Linked DNA regions of Daphnia pulex. Each later gene encodes a partner of the first gene's protein in a complex. Links are inferred from orthologs where the notes say so. Each region holds a gene or a part of one and is shown on either strand. Other genes may lie near its edges. The genes, in order: integrin alpha-PS2-like and unc-112-related protein-like.

Region 1 (3,819 bases):
GGGGTGGATGATATGGTGATAACACAACCGACAGTCAAGTGAGGTGATATTTATGTTTTTTTACTCTCTTTTTCTTTTTTATAAGTGCACAAAACATCCAAAAGGGGTTTAATTTGAATTAAATATTTCAAGGGAGGGTCGCAAGTCACAGCAATCTCTTCTTTTGATTCAGGAGGGGTCGGTGGGAAATTGTGGAGGAATCAAGGAGGGATGAGAGGTGGGAGGATGAACATTTCAGGTGAAGTTTGAGCGTGACACATCCGGCGTCATCAAATAGGGGTGAAAAGTAGAACACGAAATGTTTGTACAATATGTACAACAAAAGATCTAGAAAAATATTTGACTTGTACGAAAGGGGGGAAGTTGCAATTCAAACAGTCCGGAGCATTTGGCAAAGCTAAAGGGCTGTGAAATATTGGCATAATGATAATAAAACGTTGTCAATTAGAAAACATGACGAGCTCTTATTAGGGGGGTCATCATCCGTGTTTGGTATTGACACAATGCAAACAGAAACCGGACATTCGCCCTAAAATTTCTGCCTTCCGCAAAACGGTACAGGATGTATTTCAACTTAACTACTCGGATAAAAAAAAAGAGAGTCTCTCAAACTAAAGATAATACTTGCGCCTAAAATAATAACTGGGGGAAAGAATGTAAAACCTGTTGGATTTCTAATCAAAACTCGTAGGGAAAAAAAAAGTAGTCGGATGAACTTACCCTGCCAGTACCAACTGCCAACGGCGCCGATAAACACTCGAAGCCCATCCTAGGAAAAAACGAACGAACGAAAAAACACGATAAATAAATGGAAACATCTGTCATCGCCACGTAGAAAACGACGGCGGCCAAACGGAACAGACACATCAACATGTAGCGATGATATAAAGGACGACTTGAACCACCATTTCCCACCAGAAAAATTCTTTCAGATGCAAACGCACGAACAAACAAAAATACTTAAACTCTTGTATACAATAAGGGGGAATCAATCAAATTCTTTAGACTTCAATCGGCTTTTGTGTGTGTGGCTTGACAAACAAACGCCTTTTCTTGGGCGGATGGAAAATAAAAAAAGAAAGTTTCTTTTAAGAGACCAAACCCTAACCGGAGTCGGGAGGAGATGGATGAGATAAGCAATTTTTTCCTATTAATAATTTCTTTTTTCTTTTCTCTCAAAATATTTGTCGAAAAAGATATGGAAGTCGTCGTACCGGTGTGATAGTGGCTCCCAGTCCGGCTTGACACGAACCCTGACGATGGTATCCCCAATTGGCTACAGAAATGAAAAAAAGAACAAATGAATTTCATTTCAATTAAAGAGTGGCAAAGAAAAGAAAGAAAAGAAACTCACAGGTCCTGCATGGCGAATATTCGGAGAATTCCCGAAATGATTCACGGGCGACGAAGCAAGTGCCAACTGGTTCACGGCGCTTGTAATTGTTGGAGAACCAGACGTAACGGGGAGCGCAGGCCTTTATAAGAGAAAACCAAAACATTTTGAAACTGAAATAATAACCAAAAATGAACGATTGAATTTTCTAAACTGACCAGAACTGGTCCGTTTGGTCCGGCACTGCGGACGGTAGCGCCAAACCACTGGTCCGATTTCTGGTCGATTTGTTGTCCCGACGCGTTATTGTTTCCTGTTTATGTTTTTTAAAATTTCAAATTGATTATTCGTATTTACGCAATGATTTTTTTGTTTTACCTGTGACGTCGAATGGAATCGATTGGCACTGGTCGGGGATTTCTGTGCTGCAACGGAAAACGGATCCACCTCGGGTGACGCCCGGCTGTTCCGTCTGCGCTGTCGGAGCTCCAACCAACAACCTGCAAAGAGAAATGAATCAATATTTCATTACTTTAAAGGCAAATAAACAAATTGGGCGTTTCTTCTTCCGCAAGCGAATTTCAACCAGGGACGCGGGAAGTTTAAACTGTCCGTTGGGAAATGACGGAAACGACAACATTTCCAAGTGCCCGACCAAGAAAATTCGATAGTCTCTAGACAACAACGTCAGTTGCATCACCTGTGACAGACAATCAGATAGAAGAAGAGGTGCGAGAGAAACCACAGAAGTTGGCCCCCCTGGGGGGGGGGGGGGCCAACCAACCACTCGAGAATATGGAAAGAAGAAGAAAAACCACTGACACTACCCTCTTCAAAACTCATTCTGACGTAAGAGCTGTCATAACATTCTTCGAGTGCATATGGCCGGAAGCTAATCCCTCACAGCGGCTGTGTGAAGTTGCTGCTTGTGTGTGTGGGAGCTCTGCGGTCAGGGGTGGAGGTAGAATATAATACCGAAAAGTCGAATTGATGAGCTAATAACTTTGACGCCCAGTCGTTTTCTTTTAGAAATAAATTTAGACGAGAGCAAATGACGTCCGACTCGTCGTGTCCCTATTTGGACGGCGGGGTCCCATTCATTTCACATCGGCCATTTTCGTGATTACCAGCAGCAGCAGCAGCGTGCGAGCTCTTTGGTGTGTTATATTTATAGCATCGTTCAGAACTGGAGCCCCCCAATTAAGGGCTGCTGCTCTCAAACGCAATCCTTTAGTGGGCCAACTCCCTTTTTTTTCTGACTGCAGAACCTTGTTATACTGTACGTCCAGTGTCGATCACAATCGCAGACGAAACTCAACTGTCAATACACTGGGCAAGAAAAGAGCTGAGAAATGGCCAGGCATTGTTATACGCTGCCATCGTTAAAAACCAGAATTTTGAATTCTATTGTTCTTATTTCCCGTTCAGATTGTGGCATCTTGACTGCCATCTGCCGAGGATCGAATTGAGACGTGCCGGTCGCATCAACAGGCTAATCATTTGGATGAGGCCCAAAAAAAGAGAAAACAAAAGGACTTCAAACTCGTCTAATAAGAAAAAAAAGGAGAAGCGGTCCGGCTATTTATGCCGGCCAACAGTCAAAATATATGGCAATATACGATCAATAATTCGACCGCTGTGTTCGTACATTTTTTCCCCGACGAGAACTCTGTCGGAATTGCTCCGGACTAACGAGAGACACACACAAATCCATAGATGGCGGCGACGGAAGACAACCAAATTTGAATAAACGAAAAATCATTGGGGGGTCTACAAGTTTTTACAGGGGATTGCCTTTAACCGTGTACCATGTTATAACAAATCCACAGATAAGGCCTTATAGCAATAGCCCCAGACGGGTGGATTCAAATAAAATTCATATAGTTGTGTAAGCAGAGACACATAGTCGTGAGTGGGACATGAAAGAGCCGCCAGCACGACGTGTACAGTTCAATCGAGTCTCTCCTATCAGAAAGAAAGCGGCTAATGTAAACAAGTCTTCTATATAATATCTCGACGAGTCCAATATCAACGTCCCTGATGTCAACTTTTTTTGAATGATGTCTTACCAGTTTCTCTCTAAACTAATAAGAAGGAATGTCGTTTGCTTTATTTCCCCCGTATGGAGTGGAATAACGCAGTGTCAAAAACCCCCAAAAAATCCAAACTGAAACAAGGTATATACAAACAACTTTTGGGGTTGATCAAGAAGTCAATCGAGTCTCAGCAGGTGTTTCGGTATGCCAAGTTGGAGAGACTCGTGCAAGAAAAGTGACGTGAACAGGAAAGACTTGACGATGATATCTTCAAACTAACAAGGAATTCAGAGGGACGTGATCCAACGAGATGGAAGAAAAGAGTCCAAAGTGTTGATAGAAAACAAACGGGGAATTGATTGTAAATCAGTGCGGCCAATCGAATCTCCCCCCAATCAAAAAGGGTCCAGCAGCTGGAATACAACGCCCCTTTTGATGTTGTACATCAGT
Region 2 (4,339 bases), on another chromosome or scaffold:
ATCAAAAGTGGAACAGAGAAAAACATTGTATTGTAACAAATTGAAATGCCAAACACATGTAAAATGTATCTATTGTGGGGGTAGTCTTTTTATTTTAAGAGCTAGATTCAAGTTGGGCGCGATCTTTGGGCGCTTCAATGGGCCACCAAGCCGGTCGGTGGGTTTCGATTAGATTCGAGTCGATTTTCAATTGAGAAGAAGAGAGGGCTTGTTGTATCCGCAAGAGGCCGAGACCGTAAACTGATCCGTGAAGATATCCTCGTAGTTTTCCCACCCGTTGTCCGTTTTCATCAGAAATGGTCGATTCTAACTGGATGGAATCGGAAGGCTGTTGGAAGACAACCGGCATCAAACGTTTTCTGGTTACACCCGTGTGGTAAGTCCTGGCCGTAAGTTCCTGTCCCAAGTAGCACCCTTTATGGAAGCTGACGCCGTGCAGGTAGTCGCAATTACATTCGAGTGGGAAACATGTGCCGGGTGGCATATCTCGAGAGCCTTCTCCCACACCAAGTTTATATCTGAGTTCAGTGTATCGATCAGTGTTGTCCACGCAGAGATTCTTTATTAGGTGACTTAGACTTTTGTTGGAATCAACCAACACTCGCCATCCCAGTTCCTTGACTCTGGGATCTCGGGCTAAAATGACTTCATTACTGAGATCTTCGGGGGGCTGATCAAAGAGAACCCAAGGCTTCAGTGTTTCCTCTACAGAGATAACCACCTTCCTTCTGACTCTGAACATGGTGAGGTGTTTTGCTAGAGATTCCGAGCACTCTGCATCACATTCAATCAGGTAGCTGCCAGATTCTTTTGAAGAGTGGATGATGGCATCGTAAAGTATTCTTCCCTGCCGGTTGAGGAACATGCAGTACATGTTGGGATTGTTATCTTCGTCCAAGTGTTTGATATCGTTTGTCATAAGACCCTGAAGGTACGGACCGGCATCCACTCCAGAAACTTTGACGATTGCCCTTCCTTTGAGTTCCTGTGCGTTTACTGTGCATTTCTGGTGAACGCGTCGAACCGAACTAGCGGCCACCGATCTCAGAGCAACTGCTTGAATAGACCGCCACATGGACGAAACTTTTGGTAGAAGGGGAGTTAAAATTGTTATCGTACCTTGCAGAGAGAGATTGAGCTCGATTGTTGAGCAAGTCGTGGTCGATTCGATTTGTTTACAACTAAAATGTAGGAACTCCAGCGCCATCTGACGGTGCTTGAAAATGTTAGAAAATCTCCTAATCTAGTCGATCTAGTCCAAGGTTTTTTATTTTTGTTTATCAGGAGATCGAGATTGCTTTCATCAGTGCGATATTGAGATTATAATGGAATGGAATTCAAGGCAGTAAGTATGAATGTAAGCTCTCAACAAACTATTATATTATTTTGATTCACTTTTTTTTACGTTTCGTGATCGATTAAAAGTTTGAATCGATTGTTTAGATCTGGAAGTGGGATTTTAGGGTACCAAGGCGTTAGTTACACGACTCTCTCATACCGAGTCTGGATGAAACGTCGACTTGGTCTTACGGCCATCTGTTTATATTCCAACACTATTCACACACAAGGGTTGATTCGCCCCCTGAATAAGTGATCACCTCGACTGCGTCAAGATGTCAACTAGTGATTGAACAATTTTGGAACTGTTCATTCTGTCTGAAAAAGCCATCGAACTATTTGAGTGTGTGTGTGTGTGTTTGGTGTTGGAAAGGAGAAAAGAGTTGTGTGTGTGTGTGGGTTGCCCCGTTTGTGTTGCCCATGTTTGGTCACGGACGGGCATCGCCTCTCTCTTGGAAATTATTGTTTGGTGCTCTAAGCTACAGGTGCTCTGCTGCTGCCTTGTGAGAGAGAGAGAGAAGAAAAATTCAAGATGATTGCCGACGGACATTTGGTCGGTGACGGGAGCTGGGAATTGAAGGTGTTGGTGACTGACTTGTCGGTCGAGCGATGTCTCCGGGTCAAAGGTGACCTGCACATTGGTGGTGTTATGCTGCGTCTCGTCGAGGAATTAGGTATGCAATTATTTGTTGTCCTTGTTTGCCCATATTTGGGGATTCAACTGCGAGGCTGACATCATCACGCCCCAATTTCCCAGGCGTCTGTTTGCTTGCATTTAAAAGACATTATGGGGGGAGCCATCTTGTCCACATCTGAAATGAGTTCTTGGTCGCCCACTAGCAGCTACTAGTGCTCCCTCTGTCGGCCCAGTCTAGCGCAGACAGGAAAGAAAAAAGGCGGCATTTAAAAATAGCCTCCCCTCGCGTCACTCTCTCTTACAATGGATCTCTCTTGAAAAATAAAATAAAAACCCCTCTGAATATAAATATATTAAAAAATCAAATAAAATCCGACAAGTCCTAGAAAGGTTGCACTCCTCTCTCTTTGATTCCGCCGTTGGCAAAGGCTATAAGCGAAATAGGGCGGGCGATTGGAATGCACAGTCTGGTGATCGGTATTCTCATCACGTCAAGGATCACTTGAATGTTTATTTTTGAAAAAAAGTTAGTTTGTTGGAAACACCGTCAGCAGCTTGTGTTATGTGCACATATCGCGGTTCGGCGTAACATCCGGATGATTTTACCCAACCACAAACGTCTCTGATTTCAGAAACGAAATTATTCAGGACGACGCCCTTTTTTTGGCCACCATGACCCATTTCATTTCCGCCCCATATACACCACCACCACCACCCACCTGAATGTGTGTGTAATTTCACGCCCAACATCACGTGATCACAGTGATGGATGTTTTGGAATAATCAAAATTTATGACCCCCCACCAGTCTATTTTATATTCACATTTTGTTACATCTTATCTTCTTTTCGTATTTTTAGATATTGCGGCGGATTGGTCGGATCACGCTCTTTGGTGGCCAGCTCGGAACTGTTGGCTGTCCAGGACCCGTTCGACGCTGGATCAGTATGGCGTCCAGGCGGATGCTCTGCTGCATTTCACTCCCATGCACAAAACGCTGCGCGTCCAGCTGCCAGATTTGCGCTACTTGGATTGCCGGGTGGATTTCAGCGTCAAGACGTTCAACGCCGTCGTGACGCTGTGCAAGGAGCTCGGCATCCGGCATCCGGAGGAGCTGTCGTTCGCCAAGCCGCTCGAGTCTGACGATTTGCGCTACAATTATCGCGAACGCGAGTCCAACACGTCGCACAAGAAGCGGACGGTGGCCAACAATTCGGCCGACACCAACACGTTCATCGGTCACCACGGCAATTCGACTCACAGTTCCAACAACAGTTTGGACAACATTAAGGCCACCTCCGGATGTACGCCCGTCCTGCCCAACACGACCATCAATCGGTCCCCGGCTCCCGTACCCACGCCCATCAGCTCACCAGTTAATGTGAGTTGTTGTTGCCATGTATATTTTTTCACGTTTTTTGTCTTCATAATAATAATACTAATCATCATTATTTTCTCATCCATCAGTCGGGCACGTGGAGAAAGAATTCACCGTATTCGACTCCGGGCAGCAACGGCCACAATGCGACACCATCCATCTTTGACATGACTGCCAACAACAGCCTCAACACGACGGCCAACAGCAGTTTCTCCAATATGGATATGTCGCTGGCGCTCAGTCCGGCCACACCCAGCCAGGAGGCCCGATCCAGGCTTCTTCGACCCAAAAACTTGATCGAACGGGCTCGTCTTAATGTGGCGTGAGTTTCTCTTATCTATCCTAACCCACTTTTATAAAAAAATCAGACAATATTGATTTATTTCCCGCATTATTTTCATCAGTTGGCTGGACTCGTCCTTGTCCATCATGGAGCAAGGCGTGCGGGAATACAGCGCGCTCCTGTTGCGCTACAAATTCTACTCATTTTACGACCTGAATCCAAAGTACGACGCCGTGCGCATCAATCAGATTTACGAGCAGGCCAAATGGCAGTTGCTCAACGAGGAGATTGATTGCACTGAAGAGGAGATGCTCATGTTTGGAGCCCTTCAGCTCCAAGTGAATTTACAAAGTGCCCAGCCTCAGCCGCTGAGTGACACTCGTGACGGCGACGACGATATCGACGCCGCCCTGAGTGACCTCCAGGACACTCTGGAAGGCACCCACGTTCACAGCAACACTAGTGACATCACTTCCATACCGGAATTGTCGGATTTTCTTCGTTACATGAAGTAAATCGATTTTTTTATTCCCCCACATTCGTTTAATACTTATTTTATTTTATTTTTTTAAATTTGATTTAAAGGCCGAAACGTTTCACCTTAAAAGGCTTTAAACGTTATTGGTTCGTCTGCAAGGATTTACAATTGTTTGCCTTCAAGAATAAAGGAGAGTCGGGTTCCGGGCCAGCCCATCAGATCCCGT

What was found.
Region 2: integrin alpha-PS2-like (region 1) and unc-112-related protein-like share a complex: the UniProt entries of both Caenorhabditis elegans proteins name them as parts of the integrin containing attachment complex. The link is inferred for Daphnia pulex from reciprocal best matches to the Caenorhabditis elegans genes pat-2 and unc-112.

The regions. Positions count from the first base shown.
Region 1 is NC_060022.1:1,623,892-1,627,710, reverse strand, and holds part of integrin alpha-PS2-like, read right to left. Parts: intron 1,834-3,819; coding exon 1,712-1,833; intron 1,647-1,711; coding exon 1,552-1,646; intron 1,476-1,551; coding exon 1,355-1,475; intron 1,277-1,354; coding exon 1,215-1,276; intron 770-1,214; coding exon 721-769; intron 1-720. UniProt on the Caenorhabditis elegans protein: Required for muscle development probably through the regulation of the actin-myosin cytoskeleton. Component of an integrin containing attachment complex, which is required for muscle maintenance.
Region 2 is NC_060028.1:2,206,028-2,210,366, reverse strand, and holds the start of unc-112-related protein-like, read left to right. Parts: upstream 1-1,446; 5' UTR 1,447-1,870; coding exon 1,871-2,012; intron 2,013-2,834; coding exon 2,835-3,355; intron 3,356-3,441; coding exon 3,442-3,674; intron 3,675-3,756; coding exon 3,757-4,146; intron 4,147-4,220; coding exon 4,221-4,339. Other genes in the region: putative transferase CAF17 homolog, mitochondrial, read right to left, coding at 95-1,207. UniProt on the Caenorhabditis elegans protein: Component of an integrin containing attachment complex, which is required for muscle development and maintenance. Probable regulator of cell-extracellular matrix adhesion. Required during initial muscle assembly to form dense bodies and M-lines.